Linked DNA regions of Drosophila melanogaster. The protein of the gene in region 1 interacts with the protein of each later gene in a pairwise test. Each region holds a gene or a part of one and is shown in the gene's direction. Other genes may lie near its edges.

Region 1 (16,521 bases):
TTTATAAAAATAATATGCTCATCTTTTGGTACATCCGAGGGAGGAAACTACTAACCACTACCGCATCTTTTGAAAGTACAAAACAATTGCACAAACGGTAGAAGACAATTAACCGAAAGGAAACGAACCTACCTTGTCTTCGTATGTTTTTTACCTCAGGATTAACTATATAACATTGTGGTGTAAAGTTTACATAAATACTACAGCTTGTTTTAGAAATCCAAAAATAAAAGCTTTCACTCCCAAACAGAGCCATAACTACGAATTCTCGATTAATAGGCACGCACATTAAATTGGGCAACTAAAATTATACATAGGACGCACATCAACATTTTGTCCGTGTCTTGTGGATTATTTTATTATTGCTATCCCAGAATAATGACAACACCAGTTTCCAACCCTCGGTTGTACAGGGCACTCGCAAAACTTTAAGCTAGCCTTCTCACTTACCCGTCCTCATCTGGTGGTGGAAGCTCGTCGCAACCGTTGCCCACTTCAGCATCTTCGATTTCGATGCTGTCATGTCGTTGAGGTGCCGGCACATCAACAGATGGCGGTGGCGTGGGCTTCTTAGTCTTTTTGGCTCGCTTGATGCGCTCATCTAGCATTGAGAGGTCCTTTTCGTTAAGATGGCCAATCATCTTGTAAGTCTTTTCCCCGGACAAAAAGAAGACCTGGACGATGCAGTTGAGTGCTGCGTTGCGTACGGAATTATCCCGGTCGGAAATCTGGCGAGCAATCTCGCGCACCGCCGATTGGGGACAGATGTTCATGCCATAGCTTTCAATTAGGAAGGTTAACTCGTCAAGGCACTCAGTACGCTGACGGGCATTCTTCGATTTTAGACCCTCCATCACATAGCCAAAGACCTTGACGAAAGGGAAGACCAATATTACTTGCCGCAGAACGCGGCGTACGCCATTTCGAACAGCATCCTTTGGATCTCCGATCTGGGTGTGAAAAAGAAAGCTTAGAAAATTGTAATACCCCCTACTATCTGGAACTTGCCTTTAAAAGCAGATGTGGGACAAAACTGCTTCCCTCGTTCTCGGCCAGAATGTATTCCTCGTCAATGAGTACCTGGAAAACCTGTACTAGATATTCGAGACCCTTAATCAACACAGAAGGGTTCGTATCGTAAAATCGCAGCGTCAGCCATTTAAGTATTAGGTCCAGATTACACACCAGCGCCTTACTGTTACCAGCCAGATCTTCGCTCAACTGCTCGATGACTTTCAAGTGGTAGCTTCAGGGCAATTCAAGTAATTATTTAGGTAATGCGAAAGGGACACTACAGGGACTTACCGAAAATCGTCGTGGAACATGTTGGCTATCAGTGCTTTATTTACGTTTGCGGTCATCATTTGGTCGCGTAACAGTTCGGTGAATTCCTCTCTTGGGGTTACAAAAGTCCACTTTAGTACCTTCATTTTTTGCTCGTCTAGCAGCCGCTGGTTTTTAGCACTGTTGGCGCACAGTAGCGGCGATGTGTCGATATCTTCGTCCTTTTTGCGCGCTGGTACCTGCTTGTCTTGTCCTCCGGCAACCCGGGCTGTAGCACTCTTCTGGATTCCAGGCGCACCACCTGCTCCACCGCCGCGCACTGTTTTTAGCTTCGGCTCCTCAGGTATTGGAGCCTGATGCTTGCCTTTGGGCAGCGGTTTTACCGGAAGATTAGGACGCGCTTTTTCGAGTGCTGCAAGTATATCCTTTTTGGACGCGGGCTTCTGTTTGTCCAGAGCGCGGTTCATTGCATCAAATCCAAGGTGAATCATAATGCCCAACACCGCCTCGTTGGCATTTTTCCGGACATCGGCGTTTCGATCGCAGATGTGAGCATATAAGTGCGGCACCATTGAATGGATATCCTCCTTCGATACTGACTTGGGGGGAAGACCAGGCAGCTTATCTGCCAGCCAAGCCCACAATTCTGTCTTTAGAGCTGGGGATCCTCCTTTCAGGGCATCGGCTATCATTTCGCTCTCAAAAAATTCCTTATAGCCGCCCTTTTCGCCAAAACTATTGATGCAATTGAGGGCAGCGGCTCTTACAAAACTCTTGTTATCACCCAGAGCGTGTAAAAAGCCAGGGAACAAGTTCCGCACGTGATTTCGACAACCAGCCCCCATGGCTGTGGCAAGCTGCTCGCAAATGGCAAGTGTCGTTTGGGCAATCTTAGCATTGGAATCTACCAGACGGTGGGCCAGAGCAGGAGCCAAGTCGCCAATGCTGGGTTTGATTAGCCGCGCCTCTGAAATAATAGCCTGCAGCTTAGTCAGACCCTCGTTGCGAGTTTTCCAGTCCTTGTCGGACATCTCCTTCAGCAATGCCTCCGTAATCTGTGGAGCAATATCAACGCGTGGTAGAAGATCAGCCATATTAATGGGCTCCTCTTCTCCGGCTGCCCCACCATCATCGTCCTCATTGTCTGGGGAATTACCAGCGGTTCCACCGCTGCTACGTTGAACTCCTCTAACAGGCTTGGGTGGTTTTTCGCCCACATTCTTGTCAAACTCTACCTGGATCTGGGACTTTAGTGCAGGCTTCTCGCTGTCGAAGAACATCATTAGAGCTTTGCCCATATACATAGACATGGTGCCTACCATTTGAATGGCGGAAGCACGAACCGTTGGATTCGTGCTCTGCACGCCTTTTCGTACATCTTCAATAAGTGTCTTTGGCTGCAATTGGAAGCCGAATTCTATGATTGACCTGTTAACCCAGTTAAAGGCCTCTGATTGCACTTTAGGCGATTTTTGTTCAAAAGCAAAGCTCAATACTTTGCCCACAACATACTCCAGTTTAGTGGCTTCGGCAAAGGCAGACAAAACATCTGCAGCTGCTGCACCATTCTTGGCGTCTGCTAGCTTCTCGATTATTTCGTTAATCACCAGATCAACGGTTGTCGTGGTCAGTGGATAGTTTTCAGCCACACTGCGGATTATGTCTAGCTTAAACTTGAGTACCTGGAAATTCATTTCTTTGAGGCCTGGCTTTCGTCCACTGATTGTTCGGATCAGGATCTGTGATATGCCAGCCTGTTTTGCATCAAAACCGCTTATTTCGCCCAGAAGCTGTTCCACAGCAGCAAGGCGGTTCTTCCAGTTGGAATCCACCAGCCCATTAAGAATTTCGGCTGGCAGAATTTCTTCGGATTTTTCTTGCAATTCCTCGGGGGTTATTTCGCGTTCCGTGGCTAGGGGTTTTCCACCCGCTTTAAGAGCTGCAGTTGGGGCAGATGTAGCTCCTCCTCCACTAACCGTCGCCGGTTTTTTCAAGACCTTACGTGCCCCTGTAGTGGCCGGTCGGGTTACTGGCTTAGGGTCCACACTACCAGCCACTGTCTTAGCCGGAGCAGCAGCTTTCGCAGTCGGTGCAGATGCAGGTCGTGTCTCCTTCTTTGGACCTGCAACCTTTATTTTAATCTCCGCCTTTTCTTGGCACTCCTTTATCTTGGCCATTTTGAGTGGATCGACGTCGGCGAGCAAAGGAGTCACCGCTTTGTCTCCCATTAGCTTTATTAAAGTACCAAGAGCTTCGGCGCTGCTGTCGCGTACGGTTGGATCTGGTTCGTTAAGCGTTTTCACTAGACTGGTGGTCAGAAGTTTAAGCAGCTTTTTGTTTAGCGCGGTTGGTTGGGTGCGGGTTAGGGCACGGGCAATAAACAAGGCCGTTTCGGACTTAACACTTGGATTTTTGTTGGACAGGGACTCTACAATGGACTCTTGCTGGGCCTCTAGAGAAGTGGAGGCGTATATGGCATCAATAGCTTCACGCAGCGCTGTCACAACATTAGGTTTCTTCTCTTTAAATTTTTCCAACAGGGATGGGACACAAGCCTGAAATAGAAGAACACATATGAAAACACGTTATTTGGAAGAAGGTGAGAGTTACTTACGGATGCGTAATTTGAGAATCGCTTTGCCAATCCTTTGGCTAGCAAGGCTAGACATTTTCCGGCCATTGCAACGAGGACTACGTTGGAGTCCTTGGTTATAACCTTTTTAAGAGCGCTTACCAGCGCTCCATACTCGCCATTCTCTAGCTTGGGGTGGTCAGTGAGCAGTTTCTCCAGGACTTCCAACGATTCTTTGCGCAGAGTCCATTTCTTTTCCTCCAGCTTATCGTAGAAGTCCTTGGGCATTTTGGAGAGAATGTCAACGGGGTCTAGAAGATCCATAGGATCGATTTCTTCAACGCCAGCCTCGCCATCATCCTCTGCATACGAAAACCAAAATCAAATCAATAATTCACTGCTTTTGTAATATCGAGGGCTTCATACCATTATATGCATCCTCGGTCGCTGCAGCATCGGCGATCTTCGCTTGCTTTTCCTGCTGGGACTTTAGATATCTAAAAGTAAGAGCGGTTTAGCTAGGCAATGATAGAGAGAAATCCTTGAACACACCTGGAGGGTTCAACGCGTTCACCTTTGAGTTTGTCGAATTCATCCTCCAGCTCCTTTAGCGTTACCTGTGGTAGCGTTGAGATCTGTGCCTTCATTGCAGCTCCGATCCAACGGTAAATCTCAACAGCCAGCTGCTTGCCCTCATCTCGGACCGTCTTGTCTCGGTCAGACATTAGCGGAGCAAGCTTTTTAATTAACGGCTTGACGCCGATCACCTTGTGTCCGAACTCGCGGAGGGCCAGTGTGGTGGCTGCCACGCAGGCAGACACAATCTTAGGGTTCTTGGCCTCCATACCTTTAACCAGCTCTTCGACGACGGCCTCCTGCTTCTCTATCTCCACATACATTAGAGCCACTTGGACGGAGAGCTCCTTGGTTTTGGTCTTTGGCGCCGCAATGCACTTCTGAACGATGCCTGTCATCACGTCGCCTACTGTGCGTCCCGCCAGCCCGCTGTTCTCCACAAAAATGAGGGCCGCTTCTAGACCCTTTTCCTGGGCCAGAGCATTAGAGTCCACTACCATCTTCTTTATGAGCCCTGCAAATTTAGACCATTCCGGCGACTTCTCGTCATCCAGCTCGCGAAAGATCTTTGCGGCCTCCTCGTAACCATCGACGCGGGCTTTCCATAGTTTATGGACACACCGCTCCTCCACCGGCAACTTCTTGTACTCTGTGTCCTCGGCCATTGTGTCGTGTTTCGTACGCTACTCGGGTTCTCCTCAATGGTCTCAGTCGCAAACAGCCTCAAGCAGCATTCTGCGAAACAAAAAGATAAATATGTATAAAAAAGCTACTTTAATCGAATTTTTCTTAAAAGAAAAACTAGCCAAGCTTCCAATGAAGCAGAACTATTCCGGATGTCAGGAGTCATCGAGCTGATGTTTTAAAATTGAGCTTAATAGTCTATGAAATACCGATGGCCAAGGAAGCAGAATCATCCATCCGTTTCGCTCGAGGGGCGGAAAAAAGTAAATGGGTCGGCCATATTTAGATTGTCGTTTTCTAAGTGCAGTTATTTGGCAAACAGAAGCAGAAATAGGAGAGTGTAAATTTGGATTTTCGGAAAAGGTTGGTGGGCTTGTCACCCAGGATGGGTGATATCATGTCGCTGAATAGCGCGTTATTTTTTCAGTCAATTAATCAGGGGCACGGCAAATACCCCCCGCACAACCACTACAAAAGGTGACACACGCACACGAAAGCCTGCGACTGAATCAGGCGTGGATTTTCCATCACTCCCATTTATTATTCATGCATCTGTCTCTTTAATATTGTTTTGATGCGCTCCTACTGTGCTCACGTTTGAGTAGAGCATTTTTCAATTCGGATATGCCCGCGCTTTGTTTCTTCCTCTCTCTTGATTTCGCTCTTTCAAGCTCTCACGCACACCGACGCTCTCAAGTTCGAATTAACGGATCATACCGCAGGCAACAACAAATGTTTCTCCTGTGGGCTGTGTGTCTGGATTATGCCGTCGTTTACCGTTCCACCCAACCGCCAATGGTTGCAGCGGCTATCAATTTCCAGTGGCTGCAACTTGAGAGCCGCAGATGAAGCACATATCGCCCATTTTAGCGACAAACAAATTGCGACGCCCTGGAACAAAATCGCGATGCATCCGAGTGCATTCCGGTACACGCACTAGCACACTCACCATCAGAATTGTGATCCAAGTACCGCCGTAGAGCGGGGACTGGGCGAGGAGCTGCGGGACTTACAGCTGGCCAGGGACAGCGGCTTGAAAGGGCTGCGCAATGCAATAACTTCGATTTTTCGCAGGCGACGACGTACCAACACTTACACACGGCACAACACAGAAGCACGCACACTTATTCGACAAAGACACACCGACGGGGTCTTTCCGGGATGCCAAGTAATGTAGCAACAATGAACAATAACTTAACTACGTTTCCAGCACTTCGAGCCTCTTTTGTGCAGCGGAATTTACTTGGTTTCGCGGTAGGTAAATAAATAATAATTTTCGCAGTTTTCCAACAGCGTCGTTGCGCCAGTGTGACCGCTACTCACAACTCTAGCATCCCCTAAAACCTAGAATTAGTGTGCTGGGTGGAAAACTTTGATAGGTACGCGCTAAATTTTAAACATATATTTCCAAATATTTGGCCAACATTGATTTCAAGCGATTACCACAGGCAAATATTTATTTGATGTTTGGGAGCATTCCCGTGTAGAACATTAACTAAGAGAGATTTGACATTCAGCATAAAAAAAGCCAATTGTATAATTGTTATGTTGTATTTATTGAGCCATCGCTTTCGATGCGCGTGATCTCCAGAAGATGAATAGTGTGTCCGCCCATAAACTCCAGCAGATCCACTCCCGACTCCTTGCCAATGTCCTCCATGCTGATGGGTAAAGCCTGCAGCTTCCACTTCTTGAGCAGCGCCTCTATGGACCAGTCGGCGCTCCGCTCCTGGTATGTAAATATAAATTTGGCCCCGGCATTTCGCTCCAGCAGAAAAGCAACTGTGACCACGATATCCTCGAACACGCTGGGATCGTAGAAGCAGTCTGCTGCAATGATAAGGTCCAGAGGCGGCAGTCGGAACACGCTGTTCAGCAGCAGGCCCCAACTCAGGCCCACCACATCGATATCAACGCCCGGCTGCAGTTGATTGGCCAGGCAGGACTTTCGGATATGGGCCAGTGACTTGGGCAGAATGCAGTTGTCAGTAAGTACCACTTGGGCGCGGCATTTGGCCGCCAGAATGCCGGGCAGGGCGGTGCCGCTTCCCAGCTCCAGGATGCGCTTGCCCGCCAGTGTCTGTCGGCGCTCCCACAGGAAGTGGGCTAAAATTGGTGCGCAAGGCCATGTGTAGAAGGAGTAGGCACCCTGAAGCAGCTGTAGGCGGACACTTTAGATACTACACGAACACCTGGTTCTAAGGATTACCTCAGGTATTTTGATCTCCAGTCGCTCGGCGGGTGATCCGCTGAAGACAAACTTGCGGATATGCTCGGCAGTGGCTGTGGCCGCCACAATGTCATTGTCCTCGCTGCCGCTCTTCATGTGGAAACGCATCTTAGCTCAAGCATGCAGGAGTATTACTATTTTCACTAAACTAAAGTTATTTTTCAGCGTTTTGTTTACAACCTGTTTGATTAGCGATGTCACTTCGTTGCGATAACTTAATCGATAAAAATTGAGGCGAGTGAAGCAAATAGTGACCGAAGGGTGACTTCAGTAGCAGTTGACATTTTAAGCCACCATTTCTAAGCTTCAATTAAAAACGTTTTTGGGTATCCCAATTCGTCCAGTTTATTTAAAGGTATGCATCCCAATTGAAAGTGGCTGCAGCTGAGCGCTCCTCTAAACAAAATTCTCGTGACCGCGATTGCTGCTGAACGATGACTAGTGTATAAGCAATCGAATATCGCAAATCTTGTATGATCACTGTGGTGTTTTGCTTTTCCGATTGCCATGGAGGGATTCAGATTCTTGGAAGAATGAGCTCCGTAAATAAAATAAAGCTTAACGAAAACAACAAGATGCACTCTTTTGGGAACTGGGAGCGGTGCCGGAATCTGGGAGAGGGCGGATTCGGCCTAGTGATCCATTGGCGAAACCGAACAACGGGCCGTGAAATTGGTGAGCTATAAACACCTTATGGGCTAACACTAATATACATATACATATAAATATTTTAAGGATTTTCTTTTTCGCAAACACACATTACCAGCCCCCAAACACCCTCCCCCTTTCCAGCCTTACTCATAAATAAATAAATTTTTTGTTGTATTTTGTATATATCCAAATAATAAAACCATAAAAACAACATACATATACATATGAACATGTTTGTTGTCCAACAATTCCCAGAAACCGAGCTGAGGCATGCGTTTCCGGGTGGTCCACTGATAGTGATAGAGGGCTCGAGTTTTGCGCGTTTGGTGTGGTCTCCGCATTAGATATGTCGCTTATAGCCTTTCGGCTGAGTTAGCCGATATGGCAGATATTTTAAGCGTCAGTCTTAAGTGTTTATTTATTTTCCACATAGCCACCAAGCACATAAAGGAGATGGGGGCCCTGAGTGCCGATCAGCAAGTCAAGCTCAGCGAGCGTTGGAACAAGGAGCTGAACTGGTCTCGTCAGTTTAAAAACTTTCCCCATATTGTGGCTGGCGTGGACATCGAGGATCCGGACTTTTTGGAGTACCTGAATGGCATGTTTAGTGCCAAGTTGCCTGTTATTGTGCTGGAATACTGTAACGGTGGAGACGTGAGGAAGCGTCTGCAGAGCCCGGAGAATGCTAATGGTCTGACGGAGTTCGAGGTGCGGCAGATACTGGGAGCCCTACGTAAGGCCCTACATTTTCTGCACTCGCAGTGTGGGATTTGCCACCGCGATTTGAAGCCGGACAATATAGTAATCCAACGTGGAGTTGATGGCAAAAAAATCTATAAGCTAACCGATTTTGGACTCGCCCGAGGAACTCCCGACCAGACCATGGTGCAGAGCGTGGTGGGCACCCGACATTACTATGCCCCAGAAGTGGTGGAAAATGGTTTTTACAACTCGACCGTGGATTTATGGTCCTTCGGAGTAATTGCCTATGAGCTGGTCACTGGTGAGCTGCCCTTCATCCCCCATCAAACCCTTAAAAACATTATACTCAATCTGATAAAAAAGCCCGCCAAATGCATTGCTATCACAGAGGATCCGGAGGATAACACTCGTTTCGTGAATCAGTTTGAACTGCCACAGACGCACCATCTGTCGCGGCCCTGGGCTGCTCAGTTCACCAAATGGCTGGCAAGCCCGTTAAACTCAAACTACAAGGAACGCGGTCAACTAGCAGCTAATAACGTTCCAGTCGTCTTCGCTGACCTGGACAAAATACTCAATATGAATGTGCTAACTATTTTTGCTGTTAACAACTGCGAACGACTTGAGTATGCGGTCTCTGCGGAGATGACTATGAAGGATCTAATTGCGTTGATTGTCCTGGACACTGGAATGGACGAAAAGGAACTGTACTTCGTGCTGCCCACTTCCCATCCGCACAAAACGATTACGCCTAAAAGTACGCCCTTGCAGCTGTATGTGGAGGAGTGGAGTGACACAAGCAAAGATTCACGAAAGTGGACTAAGCGCAGCAATCCACCTGTGATGTTGTACATCTTTCAGGTCAAGAAAGAGTGTGACTACAAAATACCTGAACCCATTCTATCAATTCTTTCTCGAAAGTTTATCGCTAACAAATTTAAGACGAAGGAAAGATGGCTGCAAAAACGTGTTGTCTTGGATATGCTCTACGTGCTAACCAAAGAGCAAGCAAGATACGAAATGCTCGTGTCAGGAATAAACGAGCGAGCGTTGTCGTTGGAAGACGAAATGATGGAAAACTCGTTTATAGACAGCATCGATAAGCAGCGTATCATAATCTCCTTTGCCTATGATCAGCTAACAAGCTTGCTAAAAGAAGCCCAAGCAAAGATTCCGTCCCGCCAGGTAGCAGTTCTTACTATACTCCTTAATCCCGTAGTAATTCAGTGTTTTTTTCCAGCTTATCAGCAGTGCACAGTGGGAGAAGCTTAACCGCAATTATAATTTCATTATACAAAGCGCAAAATCAATTAGGTCTTTCTTGGAAGCCTGCTTGCGGGAAGCCAAGGACATGGTTAAAACCACCAATCAACTACGGAAAGAAGTTTGCGAGAAAGACCTATTCGATTGGTAAGGTTTTTATATCAAATGACCAGACCAATATGTATAATGCAGCGTTTTTATTTTTTAATTCTTAGCGCTCGATTTTATAAGAAATATCTCTGCAATGGTGCGATAATTTCGCCATCAGAGTTAAATAATGACGCCGAGGAATTCGCAAAATCTCGTTTCAAGTTATATAACGAGGGCGAGGCTAGACATCTGCCCAAGTCTATCGATCACATGCATTACTTATATTTTAAGACCAAGGAGTCCATCCCGGTCCTTCTACAACAATTTTGCGACATCAAGAAGGAGATATTTCAGATTAACTTGCAGATGTTGATGTCAGCCTCAAGCACACCACCTCCGAAGCTTGAGCTAAGCGCAGCGATGGACCGCCTAGCTATAAGCTCTGGCTCACCCAGCTCGGATCCATTTGACTCTCTACGCACGATAAACGCTATCGAAGAGGCAGAAAGGATTAACAACATGTAAGTTAATACAGAAAACTGTTAAAAATTTACTAATAAATCATTTGGGTTACAGACTTGTTAATGAAATGAAAATTGATCACTATTAGTGTGCATTCTGGTCGACCATACATTTTAATTTGATTTCAATCAAACCGCATAAATATTTCTCCATTCGAAATCATACAAATGTGTATTTCGATTTTTTGTTATTGCCCGCTTATCCAATTAATTAGCTTTATTAGTTTCATAGAATCTTTAATGTTCTCATTTGGAAACGTTTTTTTTTTTGTTTAGAAATATGTGTTACGAACATTGAAATAAATGACAAACCTTATTTTTTACTAGCTACGCTTTTTCACTGGAAAACCCAAGTGTTTACACGACTTAATTTATGTTCGCGGTATCGTGAAATAGTGCACTTGCATTTGATCTGATTTCCAGATGTGTATGTTACTATATCAATACTTGCTATATATTCAATCCACAGTAGATTATATAATTTTATGACATATATATATGTATGTATATATATATATAGACAGACCGCTTAATTTCTGAATAAACAGCTGTATATAGCTTGGCTTGGTCAATTGAAATGAAACTTGCTGAGGATTGCAATGTCACGGGAAATTGCACATGCGGCAGAACAGAGAATTAGTCGGCTTTTGGCCATGCCAGACGTTGCTATAAAAGAAAATCGAACAACTGGGCAGCCACCAGAAGCCGAAAGCCAGTGACCACTGCCAGAGCTTCAAGGAGATCGCAAGGAAACACAAAATGAACCAATACTTTTTGACGGGCTTGCTTTTGGTGCTAGGAGTAGTACTACATATAGACTGGACAACAGCCAAACCTCCGGCGAAAAAGGCGGATCAGCTGCGTACGTAAATCAATTTGTCTTTCTTATATTTTTACTAACAATCGCGTGAGTATAGTGATATTTTGAAACTTAACAATTATTTAAATCGGAATAATGAAAAAGTAAAATTATATTGTTGTTTCTTCCTTTTAGCATCCTTTCTTAAGGTATGCCATCGCAATGCACCCGACCTAGACACCTGTGTTCGAGAATCTTATGAGGAACTACGTCCAAGGCTTATGGAAGGTATACCAGAGCTATATATACCTGCCATGGAGCCGCTGGTTGTTCCTCAGGTCAAGATGGACCAGGACTCCGGGGCCATATATTTGCACTCAGTGTACCGAAATGTCAAAGTCACAGGCATCTCAAAGCACACGGTCAATGAGCTGCGTCTGGAGCCTTCAAAGCTCAAGTTCATTTTGTCTCTGACCTTCCCAAAGCTGCATATGGAATCGGACTACAGCATTAAGGTCAGTAGAGAAGTATGAATATTGTCATTTCAACAATTTAAACTAAATTGACTTAACTAAAACTGTTATATTATTTTAGGGAAAAATTATGATGATGCCACTTTTGGGCGATGGCCACTGTAAGGTGGATCTCGGTAAGCTAAAAGAGTCAAGTCTTTACAGTCTATATATATTTATTTGTAATATTCCTGCAGTTAACATCACCATGCGAACCGAGCTGATTGGACAGGAGTACAAAAAGAATGGAGCCAACTTTTTGAAGATCAACACTGTGAAGGTCAAGTACGAGCTATCTGATGTCCACATTCATCTGGATAACCTTTTCAACGGGGACAAAGCTTTGGGTGATCGCATGAACGAGTTTCTCAACGAGAACTGGAAGGCACTGGCCGAGGAAGTGCGTCCGTTGATGACCAAGGCGCTGGTGGACATTTTGAGGGCCTCCGTGGATAAATTGTTTGCTTCTTTTAGCTACGATGATCTGCTTCCCATGTAAAATATCTAGTGAAGCCCATTTTTTTTCTATCTTACTGATTTAATCGTAGTACAAACAGTAGCCTACAAATTAAGCAGACAGTTAAAAGCGAAATAAATTATAAATATAATACAAAAACGGCGGACGTGGTCCTGAAGATCACTAAACCAGCCACAGTTTGGTGGGCATCTTGGAGAAGACATTGTTCCACAGTCCATGAAAGATGTCTGCCAGTCCCAGTTCCAGGTCTGGACGCAGCTCTGCTATCACCTCCTTGCCGTTTTGATTCAGAAAGGAGTTAATCGATGCCGCGAGAATTTCGTTTCCGTTGAATAGATTCTTCAGGTGTATTCTCATGGCGCCTACATCGAAGCCAACCTTCATTTCATCGATATGGATGATCTCGTCGCCCGTGCGTGTCTCGTTCCGTAGAGAGATCCTTGTGTACACGGTTGTGTGTACGTTCTTCAGCGCCATAGCCACGTCTCCACTGCCCACAAGGGGCAAAAGTAGGATATTTCCCTTCAGGTTGTACTTCGCCCGGATCCTAAGCCTTGGAAGTTCCAGCTCGAAATTTAGCAATCGCCGCTCCAGATCCAAGCTAGAGAGTAACGGAGCGAAATGAGTGTGTTTGTTAGTAGCTATTTGGTGCTATTTGTGAGTTATATTTAATTACCTGGCTCGTCGCACAGTCGCGTTGGACGGCCCTCGGATGACCAGGTCTTGAAATCCTCCGGATAGCACCAGGTTGCCGCTGCCCTTGGATACCGACACCTGGTCAATGTTTAGGGGCTCAAAACTCTTTACTCCGATCTCCGGAATGCCAGCGGCTAGTGCCGGAAAGCATCCCTCGAAGAGCTGCCGAAAGCACTTGTCCTCGTTCGGATTAGAGCGTTTGCACGTCTGCAGCCACGAGGCTGCGAGGAAAGGTTTGGTTTATACATTTGATTTCCAAAATTAGGTCTTTCGATACATGTTAACTTTAAATATAGACTCAAATTTACTACTTAGTTTGCTTTATCTTTTTCAAAACTGATCTTTGTTCTTTAAATATACATATATATATATGTACATCTGTGTATATGTATATATAGGTATATATTTCGGGTCTGTTGGCCAACTCTACTTACGCCTCTCCTGCAACGGCAGCTTGTCGTTGACAATTTCGCGAGTATACGCCCCGTGTGTGACCGTTATCAGGCAAATCGAACCGAAAACACTCAAACTAACGGCCAACTTCCAGTATGTTGTGCTAACAGCCATGTTTACAAGCAAACGAAAACTAAAGCAAATTGTATCCTTTGGATCGGCACTTTAATCCGTGGCGTGTAATCTGCTATCCGTTGAGCGCGACCGTTGGCGACGATGGCTCGAGACCAAGTGCCGGGATAGCCAAGAGAAAAGTCGAACGAAACCATCAAAGGCCAAGATGGCCAACAATAGTTTTGTTTTTCGTTCGCTGCTTTTGCGGCCAGTTTTACATACACTTTTTTTCCCCCGCACTGGCGTAACGAATTCCGCGATTTCGGTACTACCCGTTTATCCGACTGACAAGTGACCACGGGAAGAAATAAAAAAAGATTTTGAAAGCAATGCACTTTTAAGGAATTGATTTTCTTAAAAATATTGCATGTGATTATCATTAAAAATATCATTCAAGTGAAATATGTTGCATACGTTTTGGTGTTTAAAAGAATTGTTCTTTCTACAGAATAAGTCACGTATAAATGACTAGTAACGACACTAATTTATTAAAGTATCTCTGGTAAAAAATTGCAGAGAAAAGAAAGTTATTTTATTATAGTTATTGCCCATTGTTTGAGCGATTAAATTTATATAAGCCATTCAACCCGTTAAGCTTCATCTGCTTTAATTGCTGCAGGTACTATGCCAACTTTCCCAAGTGTAGTGCACATGAAGCTCCACCACTTGACCGAATATTTGGGATGTTTTATTTTTTGTATTGATATGTGTACCTTACATTTTACTTTCGTTTGCCGCATAAACGCCACCGAATCCCAGGTTGTTTATGTTTATGAATGTTGCGCCACACACACGCCGTCACACATATGTACATATACATATATAGCCTGGCCTGCTTCGGGCTCCACCATGGTGGAGCAGAGCACCCCCGAAGTTGTTCACCTGTTGACTACTTCTGGTATTACGCAGACGCTGCTCGATCGCATCGGGAGTTGGAGTTGTCTGCATGGGATAGTCGGCGCCGCCTTGCCCCTTCATTGTCACGGGTGTTGTCCGGTTTTCGGACTCTTCGTGCTCCAATGCCTCGGGCCACCGATGCCCATGCCCATGCCCCACAATACCCCCTTCCATGTGGCACTTGTCGCGTGTAGTCTGGTTGCAAGTTTCTGTTACGCAGTCTCCCCAATTAATACTTAGCCTAGAGGTGGTCCAGTGACTTGGTTCGTGAAGGCATGGATGATGAATTAAGCCCACTCGTAATTGACCCATGAAAATACATTGCGTGACAATAAGTAGCATTCATTTTCATTGGCTATTAACATTTTTTTACCACTCTTTTGTAGACCTTAAATTTGGAAATTAAAATCAATGTTTAAAACTTTGTAGTTTTACATTTTCTCACGCTGGCATCTCCAACACTCATTTGTCATTGGGGAAGTCACTTAATTGCCGCAGTTTACGAAAACATGAATATGCAAATTCAACTGTTATGTGAATTATAATTATTTTTATAATCTTTCTCCCCCAAGGTTTCAATGTTGCATGCTGTGACAATAACCGAATATCCGAAATATTATCCATGTTCGTCTCTCTCCGGTTTTTCGGCTTGCAAGTTGCGTGCGGAAATTACCAAAATTCGTGTCTGCGGATTGCGATATCTTAAATTAAAGCTGCTTCCTTACCGACTAGCCCATAAAAGCAATATAAATAAAATCCAGCCGAGATTGAACAGCTGTCGAACCGGCAAAAGTTGTCCCACTCGTGAAGCCTGGGATTGCGCAACGTTCGGCTTGAATTATTAACCAGCGTTTTATTTTCTTTAAGCGCCAAACAAACGAGTTTAATGTTCCCTATTGATTTTTTTGTATTTATGTTTTATTGGCGTTTATTTTCACACTTGTCGGTGCATTCCTGGTTTTTTTCAATACAGCCAGCTTGCCAGAGCAAGTGATGCAATCACCCGTCTCCATCACTTTTTGCGATATATTTTTTTTAGCAATGTCATAAAAGCAAAGAAAACAAATAATTGCATGGGCTTTCCCATGGCTTTTGGCTAATCCGCACCTGATCACGTGCAATTGGCGCCAAGAGGTCAATAGCTTCGATTGGGTTTGTTAAATTGGCACCTTGGCAGGCAGATCACGCCTGTGTAATTTGATTGTTTATCACCAGACTGATGGTACATTTTGACAATCTGACATTGACCAACTAGCCCGTTAGTGGTTATTGTGAAAATGTCTAAGCAAATTGGCAATGGTAAAAAAACACTATTTTACTGATTTGCAGTTCATTTGGAGATTTAAATATTTACGCTGGCGGCATACAAATAGTTAATACGTTGTTAGTAAGAGGTTTGGTTTTATCATTTATCTGTTAATTGCTCTGTTATGTTACAATGCATTGTATGGATTTATAGCTTCTAAATAAATAAATATAAAAAAAAGTTAATACGTTGTAAAAAGGCTACAGTGCTGTTAAGTAATATGTAAAGTAAAGTAATGTTGACTTGTATGTTGGGTACATTTGGTGATTTAAACTGCGCTTGAAAGTAGGCAACGATTTTTATCCACATTAAGCACGACTAAAAGCTCACAGATATGGTAAAACTACTCCGTCAGTAGAAAAGGACGGAGTATACAATTTTGAGAAGAATTAGAATTTATAACAAGTTTTGCTATTCAGTTGTATTAAGTTTTGATATACAGACTAAAACGTTTTATATATCAGATCCAAAAATAAGTAATACTAAACTCAATGCATAGTTTAATACAATCTTTATTTAGCGTTCATATTAAATGGATCAGAGCTACGATATTAATTCTAGACTTCTACATAGGACTAACTGCTAAATGTTCTATTAAGTGGGTTGGTGGGGAAGTGCGGAATACTCATAAAATATTTAAGCTACTTGAACAAGATAATGTTTATGATAAAGACCTAAATGGAACTACATTAT
Region 2 (15,049 bases), on another chromosome or scaffold:
CAGCGATAATACGAATTGGCCACGCTCGTTGTTTGGTTAATTCAATTAAGTGCGTCGGACAGAAGAAAGCCACTTGGCTAGCCACCGAAACCAAGTGATAATCTATCAAGCCGCCACAAAAGCGCTTTTATTGGGCCCTAAAAAAAAAGAAAGTCGCCACACGAAGGTTACACAACCGAACCGTGCAATTGACCCACGGAACACGGATCACAGATCACGGAGCACGAATCCCCTGAACTCTCCGTGTAGTGCGGAGTACGCAACATAAAAGCAGCAACGACACCATGACGACTGCGGCGAAAGTAATCTTGGCCTGCTGCCTGCTGGGCGCCTTCCACATTCAGATCAGCTCGTCATCGGCCATTCCCATCTGGGAGTTCCTGACCCGCAACGAGAAGGTAAGCGAATTGCACATTGCGCATACGCCGCGTCCGCCAGGTGCAGGTTGCGCATACGCCTCGTTTACTCCACTTACACACGGCAATTGTCCTTGGCATTGCGCATCTGTCGAGTGGAGTCTGTTGAGTCTATTGAGCTCGATTCAATCTGTCGAATCTAGCGCAGCGCTGAATACTTGATCAGCAGAGCATGATCGTTAATAATAGCGATATTGATATTGATATGGATATGGGTATGGTTATGGATATGGTGTTGTGATAACTTCAATGAGTTCGCTGAGTTCGCATATTAACGGCGCTTTGCGCGCTTCTGTTTTTGGGTTTCTCTCCGCACTTTTCAGTCCGTCGAAGACAAAAAACCAAAGGAATGAATATGAATGTCAGCATGAATATGAATGGTTGACAAGACGCCGTTCATTGTCAGTGAGCGGTATTCGCTGCTCATTTGCATAACTGTACCGCGATTGGCATCGTAACCAACATGGCACAACAAATACTCGAGCCGAAAGCTGAAGAAGAACGGTCCTTGGCATAAATAGACGCCTGCGGAGTGCGGTCTTGACATTGGGCCTTATCAGCGCCGAGTCTGGCGAGGATTATGCGGTGCGGTACAGTGTGGCCTGGCCTGGGAATACCGGTCCAGTGGGCGAGCGGCCCAGCGGGCCGGCTGGAAAGCCACTTGATTTCGAGAGCGTTCGAGGGGAGTCCGCTGGCTGTCGTTGCCAAAACACCAGCCATCTGGTTTCACAACTGATGAAGCGAAAAGGTTATACCGCCTGGGATCTAGCCGCGATTAGCCAGCCAATCCCCCAAACAAGCGAGTTCGGTGGAGCGTAGAGCAAACATTAATTTTCATTTATGAGGAACATCAGTTTCAATTTACATTCGCAAGTGCTGCCAGCGAGCTGAGGAAAAACTTAATAATGGCTAAAAGCTTTTCACTTTTCTGCACAAATGTTTGTGCAACAAAGCGTGACAACTCTGTGGCAATTTTCTTTGCCGTTTTTGTTTATCTGCTGTTTTTTGGTTAATGAACTCCGCCAAAGTGGCTTCAGTCCGCTCATTAATTAGCCGCCGGACTTTAATTTATTTGTAGCGATTTGCCAGTCATTAGATCTTTGTGCCCTGCTGCCAGCGCATCAATCCGAACCGAATCTCTGCCTTTCTGACCGCTAAGCACGCGAACTGCGCCTTAAATCCGCGGATCGAGACAATAGAGCCCGCAGACAATGTGACCCAATCCGATCCCGGGCCAGAAGTGATTGAAAGCCGCATCCGGCATCCCACACGAGTTTCTCGAAATGGGAAAATAATTTCTAAAAGGCAATTAGCTGCCGAAACGCAGCGATGTGGAGACGCAGTTTGTGGGGCTATACCTTTTTGCAGTCCATGTAAATTTCTAACCAGACTCGCCTCGGAATGATCGCTTTGAGTGTATTTATAGAAGATGCTTCAGCTTCCTGTTTCGAGGCGACTTTACCCTGCTCCCGAGTGATCGCAGCTATTTGAGCGCTTTCGATTTTCGATTGCAAAAATAAACAACAGCTTAACAATTTTTTTGTTGCCCTTATGTTTTTATGGGTGCAAACGCGTTTGGCCGGTTTGCGGTCCGGGCCCCAATAAATAAGTTATGTTCGCATTACCGTTTTGTTTTTACGTAAAATATGCTGGGATACACAAGCATGTGTGTAGTAATGGAACCCTTTTCCCATCCGATACCCGATCGAACTTCGATCATTACTTCGTCTTTTAGCTTTTTATTTTGTCTGTTATGAAATTTTTCATTTTCGTGGCTGTCTGTGCGTTGGTCTCTGTGGTTGGCCATTTCGATGTTTCATAATGTAACCTGCGCATATCAACAGGTTATTGACCGCCAATCCGCTGGGGATGGCATGTGGTATGGGCCAGGGGTTTACCACCACCACTTGCGGCCCGGGAAGCAGTCGCGTCTGCAGACCCACGAGACCGCTTTTGGCCATCTCTGGGTCTCGCTTCTCGGGGGTTGTGCGTCGACTGAGTATCTCGCATAGCCACAAGGAAGTTTGAGATACAGATACAGATGGCTCGGGCCAAGATCAGTCTGTCTATAGGCTAGACTTGTGGACAAACCAGGCGATGCCAGCTCAGCTCAACTTAGCTTAGCTCACTTCGCTGGAAGGCTAATGAGTTACAACCTGTCCGCGACGATCTCGAGTAAACATATTTTTATAAAAACGAGCGTATATTATATAAGCGAATTAAGTACGTGACTTTGACAACTCCCGCAAAGGCTTTTTGGAATATTTGCGCACTAAGCCATAAATAAATTGCTGTTTTGCTGAATTTGCAATTTTGACTGGGTTATATATTTAATTGTGCCAGGGCCTGGACCATAAAATCCCGACCGAGTTATTCGAATCAGATAACGTGCTCCTGACGCAGAGTGGCTTCCACTGGCGGAGGGGTGGGCACAAAGGAACCGATTCGTTCAATTAATCGCTGCCCCACTCAAGTACACATCTGAGCAAATGCACACCCAGGGGGGTGCTGAGGTGGTGCGATGGTATCCACTGCAATTCGCAGTTTGCACACGTTTGTGTGGCCCCACTGAGTGGGTAACGGTAATTGGTAATGTGAGCCAACCCGCCAACAACCCAACTCTCCAACTTTGGCCCCTCCGAGTCCGCCGATCCGATATATCCAATGCATTATGCAAACGGCGTAAAATTGTAAAACCCAAAGCAGAGCCAATGCAAATGAAGCTCTTGCTAGATTTTGAAGCAGATCAAGGGTGTATACAAATACATATATATATATATATACATATATCTAGAAGGAGGCTACAGACTCGATACTGGATCCCCTAGTGAAGTAACCCAGTTCCCCATTTCTTTTTATTTCTTTGTTCTGCTGTTTGCTCGTCGACTCTTCGATTGTTTGGCTGTCTGTCGGGAGAGGTGCTAAGTCGTGACCAATGCCGGATTCGGAAATTTCAGGGAGCTTCTGCTCTGTATCACCACCACTAAATTAGCATCGGAGCTGAAGCGATCCACTTGACGTCACCGACGACCAGAGAAATCCCACAAATCTCAGATGCAGATGTGTCACCGCAGTAGAACATTCGGCGCTAATTAAAAGTCCATTCGACGCTTCGCTGGCCACGGAGAATAGACAATGAGCTGTTGCTTTGGCCGCTGAACCGTAAACCCATACTCATACCCAGCCCATCCGAACTGGGGCACATGAACCAGATGGCAGCCATCCAATCTCGCCCTGGGAGGCAGTTGCTCAACCCGCGGGCCGCGCTGTCGAAATGCATTTCGTTTGTGCAACGAAAGTGCAATCATCTCCCGGCTGACACACACGCACCTTGCGAAATCCCCCCATTGAGAGCACCAGGCTTCAGCTCCACCTCTGCCCTGCGTTACCCAAGAGACCTGGTCGAAGTATGATTGCTTCGAACTTTCTTTTTTCTTTTTTTTTCTAATATCACCGACATATGTTCTCCGATTTTCGTTTATGACAAATCAATACCATATTCGGCTGGTGAACAGAGAAGCGATGATCTGCTTTCTAATTTCTATAACTTGATTCTTAAACACAAGACGCCATTAAAATAACCACCAATTTTGTTACTTTGCAGATGTCCCACCTCTACTCAACATTCGCTCAATTGGTAAGCGTGCACTGCAAGTCAACAGCCGCCGTCGGAGGCCTCCCAGTGAACCAGTGCAAGCACAACCTGCTCGGTTACGGGTCCGCCAAGCTGCAGACGCTCTCCGACGTACAGCTGGAGGCACTAGATCCGTATCAGCGCGATGCCAACGAGCTGAGTAAGTGCCTCTATCTGCGTGGGAGAATGATTGATTTCCGCGTCAGAACTTCCGCAGTGCGCAGTCGCGACGTGCTCGACGTGAGCTCTAAATCTCGGTGTCGATCTAATCGCTCTTTTCTTCCGCAGTCTGGTCATCGATTATGGGGGACCATCCGAGCGGAGCCAGCCTGGTGACAACGAGGCAGCCGCTCCAACAGCCCCTGCCAACTCCTCCTGCGTCCTCTCTGATCATCCTAACGCGCCAGCAACTTCCGCACGGAGCATCCCATGCCCACCCCATCCAGAGCTCCGGCTCCGCCACCAATCCAATCTTCGAGAGCGGCGAGCAGAAGCACAAATACGCCATGGACATGGACAAGGCCTACGGCTACGGGCCGCAGTCCAGCAGTGAGCTCCCAATGGCCGCCGCACTGACTTCAGAACCGTCCAAAAGATTCCTCACCGGACCTTTGGTGATCCGGGTGCGACCCGATGGCTCCCCGGTGGAGGAGGACAAGATGATGCCACTGCCGCGGGACGAAGACCTGCCCTACTTTCATCTTGGTCTGGCCGCCGCTCAGCCCAACAGGCACCGCAAGATCGCCACAATCAGCTCCTTAAAGCAGCAGCACTTCGCCTCTATCCTGCAGAGCGACCTCCAGCCACCCCACCAGACGCAGAGGCGTCTGTTCCGCCAGCAACAGGCGTAAGATCGCGGTCAGAGGATCCGCAGGCCTAGACCTAAGTCCTTGTGTGAATGTGATAGAGCAGATGAGGAGATCCTGCATCATAGAGTGCGAGAGTGAACGTGTGAGTCTTCTAGTTGTAGCCGTTTGAGGAGTTTTCTTGAATGCACTTGAGCTTTAATGGAATTTCGTATCGTATTCGTTTAAGTTTTTTTAATTTTATTTATTCGCGTGCATTAGTCGTAAGATCACATAGAGATTCTTGAGTAATAAACCGCATGATGATTATCATTGTTACGAACGTATTAATTCTAAAATGTGTGGATTGGGATGGAAATGAGGATGGGGATGCGGTCTGTGCACATAGCCAGGAACCGGTTGGTTATGGTAATACGAAAGTCGCATCTCGGCCAGCCACCAGTTCCTTGTCGCGAGCTCCACTCACACCTATATTTAACACGCGAAAGCCTTATTAACCCACATCTACAGAGTTGAGCCGAACAATGGAGGTACTGAATCCGGTTTGGCGGGTTCAGAACGCACTGCGCCGTCCATTAGAATTTGCGAGTTTTGGCAATTACATTTCGGTGTAATTTCGCTGGCAACTGGTTTGTCAGGCTCAGGCCTTTAGGACGCGCCCATTAATCTCAGCTGAGCAACAAAGGAAGGTAAATTGGGATGCACGTCACTGGGCTTGAATAAATGATGCCGGGACTTTCCACCGCCCTTGCAGTGCAAACTGCACTTCATATGCACGAGTTTTGGGCGTGTAATCAGTTTTATTGAAATTAGCTGCTTTTAAATTTAGATAGACGAGCTCGCCGATTGTCGATAACATTTCCGATTATGACAATATGACAATCAATGACACAAAAAAAGGCACATTTGAAACGATTGCGGTCACACTGGTCTAAGTTGTTTGGTAAATTAGTTAAAAGTAAATATTACTCCGAAAACAATTTTATTTCCTTAAAGCTTGTCAGCAAAGCAAAACGAGATAAGGAACGCAGTAGTATATAAGGTATATATGCAATAAACATGACAATTGCTTATTCCATTGTGACGCGTCGATGTAATTCCCACGCCTAATGAATCATTGCCCTAAAACTCATTTATTATACATTTATCCTTACTATTGCCGATATCAAATTAATCGATTTGGCTAATACTTTGCCGTCTAGTTTTCGAAAGAGGGGAATTCCCTCACCTGCGTTCACAGTCGTAAAATCTGATTATTAATACCCGCCATTGCTACCGCGACAACGGAGACATGTCGGACGAAGAGTCATTCGTTATCTTGGGTAGCTCGCCGTGCTCCTCGCTCATGCCGGACAGTTCCTTGCGGTCCGACGTATGTGGTAACGCGCAGGAGGCGAAGGAAACCGTTGCCTCTACGAGCACTCAGCCGCCAACAGTGAACTGTATTCCAGTCAGCATCACTGCATCGCAGCAGCAGCACAAATCGCTGGATTCCGGATCTTCCCAGCAACAATCCCTGGCGACCAGCTTCATTATGGGAGAAATTCAATCCGATGTCCTGAAGGTGAGCGTCTGGTTACCGTCTGGTCTGTTTAAATTCTAACAACAGTCTCTAAATCCAACCACAGAACAGTGTTTATTCGCAGTTTCCCAGCCTCTGCTCGTTGCAGGGCTCCGCAGAGGAAGTAGTTAAGCTGCAGAACATGATGACCGAGTACCTCGCGCTAAAGAGTGAGCATTTTTTTCCCGTAAAGTAATATACAGCAATAATATGCCATTATCCGGCCAGGCACACTTGACAAGGTCAACCAAACCATGCTGAACTACCACAACCTGACTCAACAATGGCGCCAGGAAGCCGCCGACCGAGAACACCAGTACAAGGAGCATGTGAAAGAGTGCCAAGCGCAAATCGCGATCCTTCGCGTGGAAAACCAAGAGCTGAAGAGGGACCTAGAGACGAAAATCGAGCAGATTGAAGGGGTTCATACCATCAGGCTAAAGGAGCAGGATGAGCTTCGTAAGAGCGTATCTGAGAAACAGTCCCTGATCGACAACATGCGCGTGGAGATTGACAAACTGAAACAGCTAAATGTATGTCTACCAGTTGCTCCAAGCGATAGGGCAAATACTTGCATACAGACTCGCAATCATTGCTATTCTGCATTGTAAACTGGACAGTATCTCTTTAAAATATTCTCTTCCGGGCTCGCACCCTTTTTCTTCTGTTATTTCAGCACTCGTTTGAGTTCGTACCAGAGTATGCAACCGAATCAAAATCCCAGGAGCTGATAAAGAAAATGCAGCTGGATATTAACGAGCTGAAGGCCAGGGACATCCAGAAGCAGGAGGTGATCAAAGGTCTACAGATCCAAAACGATATCTACCGCAGGGACTTTGAAATGGAGCGGGCAGATCGCGAGAAGAATGCCGGAGAGAAAGATCAGTATCTTATGGACTTGCGATCATTGCAGAGGAGGAACCAGGAGCTTATCGAAGCTCTGGCCGAGTCCCACAAGGCAAGCAAGGCGTGCTCGACCGCTTCTCCGCTGAGTTCAAGCAGAAGCAATTTGCGAGAGGAGCAGAGACCAGTAAGAGTACGCTGATTCCAAAGTCCATAAATGTCAATACTAATTTTTGTATCGGTAGATTCTCGACCCAACAGGCGCCTCATCCCGGACTTCAGACACCACTTTGCGATGTCCGATCTGTTCAAAGTCCTTTAACGCCTTAAGCGTGCTTCAGAGTCACGTTAACGATTGTTTGGATAAAAACTAAGCACAATTTCTTACCATATTAATAAATTTATATATATATATATATTTTCTTTTTTTACAATATCTTGTTTAATCTTAAAAGCCTGGCTAACCGGCCATATTATATAAAAACACTAATTACAGTTTCGTTAACAATGAACAATGCACGAGTCTCCTCAGAGTTTGCTGCGAATGGGGGGCATTTCCAGAGACCACACGCGGTGTACATCTGGACTGGCTACCAGGTTGCTAAGCACATTTAAGTCTGCAAAGAATTAAGATAAGCTAGAAACCATCGATTCGACATTCTGCTCACCGTTGGTGCGTGCAAACTGCTGCAACGTGTTGCGGATATCACAAATTGGAATGGCTGTATTTATGTTTGGGTAGACGACGTCGTCTAATTTAATGTTGGACACACAAACGCCTAGGATGCATCCATTCTGGTCGAACATCGGTCCTCCACTTTGGCCCGCCTGCACGCTGCCATCGGACATAATGGCCCCGGTGTCGCACTTGATGACCCTCCCTTGAAAAATCGAAGGGTTGAAGTCGTGCCTGAAGCTGAAGTTAACGTAGTAGGGAAACCCGGCGTTGTACACCATTTGCCCGACGGTGGCCGGACTCCTGGCCAGTCGCACGCAGCATTGCTCCGGCACATCCTGCGGAGCTGTGAGTAGAGCCAAGTCGAAGGGCTTATCGCTGTCCGGATTGCACCAAATCACCTCAGACTGGAACTCGCGATCGGCAGCACGGCAATTAACAGTCTCAATGTTCTGCGTGAAAGACATTATTTAGTGCGCCAAGGTTTCGGGCAGCCCATGCTTGCATACCTGTCCCACCACATGTGCACAAGTGAGGATAAAGCGCTTGTTGTGTACTCTTATGAAGGTCCCGGTACCTTGTTGACCCGCCGACTCTATGACCACAATGGTGCGCTCCCCTAGAACGGTGTGTAGTTACTATAAGAACAACGTGGAATTAGTCTTAACTTACAGGCAAAGCTCGACGGCTCTCGACTCAGCTGGAATGCTGTAGTAGACATGCCCAGTTGTTCCATAAAGTTGCGCAAAAGGTAGCCAAAGTTTGCGGCCAGAGTGAGGTTGACGTTTTCGTGATGGCGTTGAAATGAGGTGCATATCACAATGCCAACGAGCCGCCTGATAAACGGAAATTTTTGGTATATTACGGTTTTGTAACGTATTCATCACCTACAGCTTGTTGTTGAACACTGCAGAGCCTTCACAGCCCAGGGGCAAAGCGTTTGAAATGGCAAACAAGCAGCCACTTCGTCCCATAACATTAGACACCTTTCCAATGCTGATGGTCTTGTAAAAGTTCTCCAGGCCAAAGGGCGAGCACATGACCAGCACGTCGTCCAAAGTGTGCATGGGCTGCAGGTATCGCAAGTAGTTAGCGATGTGCGCGAGGAAGCGCTTGAAGGACTTCTCCTTTTCGGGCTTCCGCAGGCCCAGCACCACGAAACTGGAGCGCAGCACCTCACCCGCATCGCCGGAGTCAGCGGTGAGTAGTATGTGGTGCAGGTTGCGGCAAACTTCGTTCGCACAAAACACGTACAGCGGATGGGCAGTGAAGCGGGAGAGGATGTGTGGTTGCCTCGACCCAGGTGCTGCGATTGGCCTCGGCCGTCGTTGCTGCGGATCGAAGGTGGCCACAAAATGTAGTGAGCGGATCTGCGCATCCTCTTCCTGCTCCTCATTCTGAACATCCAGCAGTTGACCCCTCTGCAATCTGGCAACAATTGCCTTGTTCTGCGCTCCTTTGTCCCCGTCTACGGCCAAATGTGGTTGCAGAATGCTTCCAGAACTGATGATGAGTTCGTTGTTAATAATGATCGCGGACTGTTTTGCAGCCGGTGGACTGGTGACCTCCAACAGGGCGTGGCGTATCTTCAGCAGCATTATCTCTAGATTTGATTATGAATAGCCCCTTGTCATGGAAAACTGCGTTGGCTCCAAATGGAACCTTTGTGTTTGGACTCCGATGTTGCCATTCGCAGCGACAACCAGCTGTTTGCAAGCCAAAACAAGTCAGATTTTGTCATTCACCGCGCGCCGATCAGCTGATGGCTCCAACCTCAAAATCAGTCCCTCTAGGAATTTAAAATTTCCAACGAACTTCGCATAATGCTGCCTCTGCGCCGGAGTTTGCTCAAACCGCTCCAGGATGTACTCCGACATAGCCACCGCCAGATGTCGCAGAAGAACCTCTTGGAGCTCACAGATCGAGGCTTTTTCCACGGCATATTTCCTGATACAGCGGCGTAAGTATTGGACCATCTACAAAGAGAGAAGATTTCCATTTTATCTATGAAAACCGCTGCTCCACAGTCCCAGGATGAAACAGCTTTTTACCAGAGGCCAACAGAGCATCTACGCAGGATTCGATCCCACCGCTGACAGTCTACACGTGGGCAATCTGCTTGTAATAATGGGCCTGATCCACTGCCAAAGAGCCGGCCACAGACCTATTGCCCTAGTAGGAGGAGCAACTGGACTCATAGGGGATCCCAGTGGACGCAAGACAGAGCGCAACCAACTGGGCGAGACGGTGATCGAGACCAATCTAAAGGCTATCGAGCAACAGCTTCGCCGGGTGTTCGAAAATCACGAGAACTGCCTTTGGGACTCTAAGAAACAGAAATTGCCACTGGCTCCCCTAATGTGAGTGTGTAGCCTACATCAGGTCGTGTTAATCTCTTTCTAATCTCCGCAGAATCGTCAACAATGCCGACTGGTATGCGGACCTGCAGCTCATCGACTTTGTGGCCAACATGGGACGACACTTTCGCATGGGGTCAATGCTCTCCAGATCCTCGGTGCAGTCCCGCCTGGAGTCGGAGGACGGAATGAGCTTCACCGAGTTCACCTACCAGATTTTCCAAGCCTACGACTGGCTGCACCTACTGCGCCGCCACAACTGCTGCTTTCAAATGGGAGGCTCCGATCAGACGGGCAATTTAATGACTGGACACGAGCTTATTAGCCGCGTAGAGCGAAAGCGAGAGGTCTTCGGGCTCACCCTGCCATTGGTCACGACGGAAGAGGGCGATAAGTTCGGCAAGTCGGCAGGCAATGCAGTGTGGCTAGACGGTAACAAGACCTCGCCTTTCGCCCTCTACCAGTTTTTCCTGCGCATGCCAGACTCCGAGGTCGAAAAGCTCCTGAAGCTGTTCACCTTCATCCCGCTGCCCCAGGTGGAGCAGTTGATGCGGGAGCACACGAAGGAGCCCGAGAAGCGGAAGGCGCAGACTCTGCTGGCTGAGGACGTGACTCTGCTGGTTCATGGAGGTTGTACTCTATATCATTGTTCCTTTATATCAGTAGTATAGAAGTTTTCAATTCACAGAAAGTGGGCTGAAGCAGGCGGAACGTGTGACCAATGCCTTATACAAAGGCAACGTGGAGGGTTTAGCGGAACTCAACCTTTCCGAGATCCAGCAGACTTTTCAGGGTGCTACTATGGTGAACCTGTTGACCGAGCCAGGAATGTCCATCCTAGAGCTCGCCATGAAGGCGAAGTGCTTTCCCACGGAGAGTAAGTTATCTTTCTCTTTGGAAATATGGGGCATAATCGATTTGTGATCACTCTTTAGCGGATGCTGTACGCATTATAAACGCAGGCGGATTTTACGTTAACCAGAAGCGGGTGCAGAATATCGCCGAAGTGCTAACTACGGGCGTGCACATCCTGCGCAACGGAATTTCTCTGCTGCGCGTGGGCAAACGCAACTTCTATATTGTGCGCTGGCAATAGTTAACAGTAAACCTCTTATCCGGTAATGTTAACTTTTAATTGTTGTTAAATAATCATAGAATGGCTTACATTGTAAGAACTTATGCTATTTATGTGGGTCTGGGGGCGGGCTTTTTGCGCCACCGCTTTCGCGCCAGCATTTCCTTGGCCTTCTCCTTTTTCAGGTCCTTGTCGTAAAACTTGCCGCTCTTCGTGAAGGTCTTCTGCTCGTTGCGCATCTCGGCCAGCTTTCGGTTCTTCTGTTTGATGATGTTCTTCTTGTTGGCCGACTTCTTCTTGCCCGCCTCGGAGATCTGCACCTTGATGTTGCGTCCCTGCAGCTCTGTGTTGTGCAGCTGGAAGGCATTCTGGAAACTGCTTAGGTCGGCCATTTCCACAAAGGCGAAGCCCCCTCGTCGCTTCTTGGGAATGCGGATAGACTTGACCGTGCCTGCCGCAGAGAAGTGCAGCTCCAGGTCGTCCTTTGTGGTTTCGAAGTTCAGGTTCGTCACGTACAGGACGTGTCTGTTGGTTTTGGAGGCTCCTCGAAGCAGTGAACTCAGCTGGTCACTGGTTATCTGCCCATTTTCCGCAGATTCCTCTTCCTCGGCTCCGGAAGCAGCACTGCCCTCAGCGGCTGCCTCGTCGTCGGACTTGGCCTCATCCTCGCTCTTACTATCCTCCGGGTCACTGGGATTCCGTCCGTCCTCCTTGTCCACATACGTGCCCTCGAAGATCTCCCTTCGCTTCTGGTCATCGAAGTTTCCCAATAGATCCGCACTGTCGTCGTTGACTGTGCGTTGAACTCGCTTGGGATTGAAGAAAGCCTCCACCTCATAATCGCTGCCAGAATCACTGGCCATCGTGATATTTCTGGGGGAGATTGCAGTGCACACCGATACGCAGACACCACCACGTGGGATTCCCTCTGAATGGCAAATCTGTGCGGTCCCAGACATTTTCCAGCACTGGCTAATTGCGCGCCAAGAAATTCAAATCCCAGGCCATATTGCAATCGCAGCTTGTTAGAAACCGGTTGCAACTGCGGGAGCAAAATCAGACTGCTAATGGAGTTATGCGAAAATAATGCTAATCGGCGTTAGCATCGAAGGAACCGGTTAGCTCTTATCAGCTAAAAATTAATCGTGCGGTGCTGACAATTGATGAACGTGGTTGTTTTGGGAATCTTCCGCACAGATCTCCAAAGATAACCCCCCGAATATGATATGCCGAGTGGGGCGATAATTAATGCCTGCAGAATGACTGCATCTATGTCTTTTGTTTAATTAAGACAAACGACCGCTGGGAGCCAGTTATGAAGAAAATTTATGCAGTTGGTGATTCCGGCCGGTAAAATGTCAGTGGAGAGCTACATATAAAAGCGCAATTTTCGGCAACCAGCAGTCAAAATTTTATCGCTATCTATCAGCACACACATCCCCTTTCCAACCATGAAGTTTGTGGTAAGTGGCATCGAAATTAGATTTTGGGGACCTCTGAACAACGATTTGTCTTTTAGATCGTTCTTGCCTGCCTTTTGGCCGTGGTCTTCGCCAACGAGGAGGCTGATGTTGTAAAGAGCGACTCCGAGGTTAACTTGCTGGACTTTAACTACGCTTATGAGCTATCCAACCATATTCGCGCCGTGCAAACTGGAGCCTTGAAGGAGCACGACAACTGGGTGGTTTCCGGGGAGTACGAGTACGTGGCCCCCAACGGCAAGACCGTCAAAGTGGTCTACACCGCCGATGAAACCGGCTACCACCCAAAGGTCGTCGAGGCCTAATGAACAGGACCCACTCCCGAAGACCGAAATAAAAAATTAAATCCATTGCAGCAGCGAACATTTTGAATTTCCGTTCTTTTTCTTTTGTGTGAATAGACACTCTTCTTCTTTCTGCCACTAAAATCTAGGGCTGGCAAATTACGAGCGAAATTTTATACAATGTTATCGCTTGTCTCGCAAATTTGCATTAATGTGTAAAGTTAAGTAAACTCATTAAAACTATGTCTGGGCAGCCAACAGCCGTGGACTGCTTAGAGAGCAGTGGAAGCACAGTGGAGGATGTCCAAGAAACACCGGCGTCGAGGGAAAAAAGTTACGGGTTGCCGGTGCGCAAAGGAGAAAATAGCTTGGAGTCTCCTGCAGAACAAGCCGCAAAGGATGTGGAAATTGAGGAACTGACACACAGTGAAGCAATCGCCGCCACCGGTTCAACCAGGAAGCAGTGCCCATATGGAGGTAAGGCCCCTGATGAACCTGGAAAGTTGGCCGACGAATCGGAGGACCGCAAGGGAGAGAACACGAAAGCCATTGCAAGCAGCCCGGTTTTGGTAGCTGTGGATTCGGACAGCAGTGTTGAGCTAATAGAGAGTCCTGTCAAATTCTCCTCCGCCAACGAAAGTGAGAAAGATCCGCCAAAACCAGATGCTGTCAATGAAGCTGCGGCTAAAGAGGCCGAGGAAATGACTGATAGCAGCATCAGCAGTCCCACATCCGAAAGTTTTCCTGAAAAAGATGAAAAGACCAATAAGGAAAATGAGCAAGAACCTCCTGGCATGGAGGTAGATCAGGACGTCGAGGAGTCAATAAGTCGACCAGCAGAAGAATACAAAATTGAGAATACATTAAAAGGTCACAAGCGTATTAGCTTAACGGAAATCGAAGAACACAAAATTGTTGATAAAAAAGACGATGTCCTAGAGGTGGAGCTTGAAAAGGGCACTGCTCCGAAAGCTGCAGAAGACGAGAAGCTGAACGCTTTGTTATCAGATGGAGATGTCTTCTACGACAAGGAATGTGTCAACTGCAATTGCACAAAGCTTCATAAACAGTACGTGTTGGCTAACATGGCCACTTTAAACTTTTACCAGGTGCTCCGAAAGTCTTCCAAGCAGCAGTTCCTCTGCATGGGATGCCATGACACAGCAATGGACTTGTATGAGGTCAACTAGCATATTTATTAACTTAAGAGGGAAACTTAGAACGTATTTCTTTATTTAGGAGTATGCTGGACAACTAATGGCCAAGCAGCCGCTGCTGCTAAAGGATTTCCATCAGGATCACGCCGACTTTGTGGCTCTGGACAGCAGCGATGAGGAGGAAGAGGAGAAGCAGCCAGGTGAGACTGCTATCATGATAAATAAACAATAGCAAAAAAAAAAACGTACTAAATATATTTTATCCGCACAGAAAAATCGGACTTTTCGAAAAACAAGCTGCAGCTCATCGAAGATGAACTCGATGATGCCATCAAAAATGTACTTAACAAGGTGGATTTTACGGCTCAGCTGTCCTGGTCAAAAACTATTCTCCAGGCGAAAGCAGACCACTTGGAGCGACAATTCGCACTGGCAGATGTGGAACTCGAAAAAGTTCAGACCACCGCTGACAAAATGCACTGCGCTTTGTATAACTCGTGTCCGGTGGCACACAAACATCTGCCCACCCTGGACATTGAACCCAGTGACTATGTGGTAAGTAAGAAGTGATGCCGTTTGGATCTGATTTAATACAACCATTTACTCAGCATGAAGTTCCACCTCCTGGCGAAATCGTGCGTCCTCCAATACAGTTGGGAGAGACATACTACGCTGTTAAGAACAAGGCTATTGCCAGCTGGGTGTCCATAAAGGTAATCGAGTTTACAGAGAGCACCGCCATCAACGGAAACACGATGA

Evidence for each region.
Region 2: the proteins of IKKbeta (region 1) and key interact in a two-hybrid assay, tested with the Drosophila melanogaster proteins (one study listed by BioGRID).

What each region holds. Positions count from the first base shown.
Region 1 is NT_033777.3:16,040,721-16,057,241, reverse strand, and holds IKKbeta (I-kappaB kinase beta), read left to right. Parts: upstream 1-7,820; 5' UTR 7,821-7,921; coding exon 7,922-8,021; intron 8,022-8,081; exon of another isoform or gene 8,082-8,211; intron 8,212-8,430; coding exon 8,431-9,884; intron 9,885-9,939; coding exon 9,940-10,109; intron 10,110-10,177; coding exon 10,178-10,573; intron 10,574-10,628; coding exon 10,629-10,662; 3' UTR 10,663-10,895; downstream 10,896-16,521. Other genes in the region: msps (mini spindles), read right to left, coding at 451-950, 1,009-1,246, 1,306-3,839, 3,899-4,218, 4,283-4,353, 4,409-5,097; CG5013 (uncharacterized protein), read right to left, coding at 6,660-7,274, 7,326-7,454; Jhbp5 (juvenile hormone binding protein 5), read left to right, coding at 11,333-11,435, 11,568-11,899, 11,967-12,021, 12,082-12,383; Jhbp4 (juvenile hormone binding protein 4), read right to left, coding at 12,525-12,963, 13,039-13,279, 13,493-13,625.
Region 2 is NT_033778.4:24,778,140-24,793,188, reverse strand, and holds key (kenny), read left to right. Parts: upstream 1-5,777; 5' UTR 5,778-5,898; intron 5,899-6,058; 5' UTR 6,059-6,147; coding exon 6,148-6,420; intron 6,421-6,484; coding exon 6,485-6,587; intron 6,588-6,645; coding exon 6,646-6,950; intron 6,951-7,093; coding exon 7,094-7,453; intron 7,454-7,505; coding exon 7,506-7,634; 3' UTR 7,635-7,675; downstream 7,676-15,049. Other genes in the region: Reg-5 (rhythmically expressed gene 5), read left to right, coding at 285-398, 4,021-4,210, 4,339-4,901; CG3589 (uncharacterized protein), read right to left, coding at 7,789-7,877, 7,929-8,388, 8,446-8,555, 8,609-8,772, 8,828-9,534; TyrRS-m (Tyrosyl-tRNA synthetase, mitochondrial), read left to right, coding at 9,760-9,896, 9,964-10,296, 10,349-10,923, 10,982-11,170, 11,229-11,389; CG3594 (uncharacterized protein), read right to left, coding at 11,479-12,231; Lcp9 (larval cuticle protein 9), read left to right, coding at 12,820-12,831, 12,888-13,154; egg (eggless), read left to right, coding at 13,376-14,314, 14,373-14,490, 14,562-14,845, 14,899-15,049.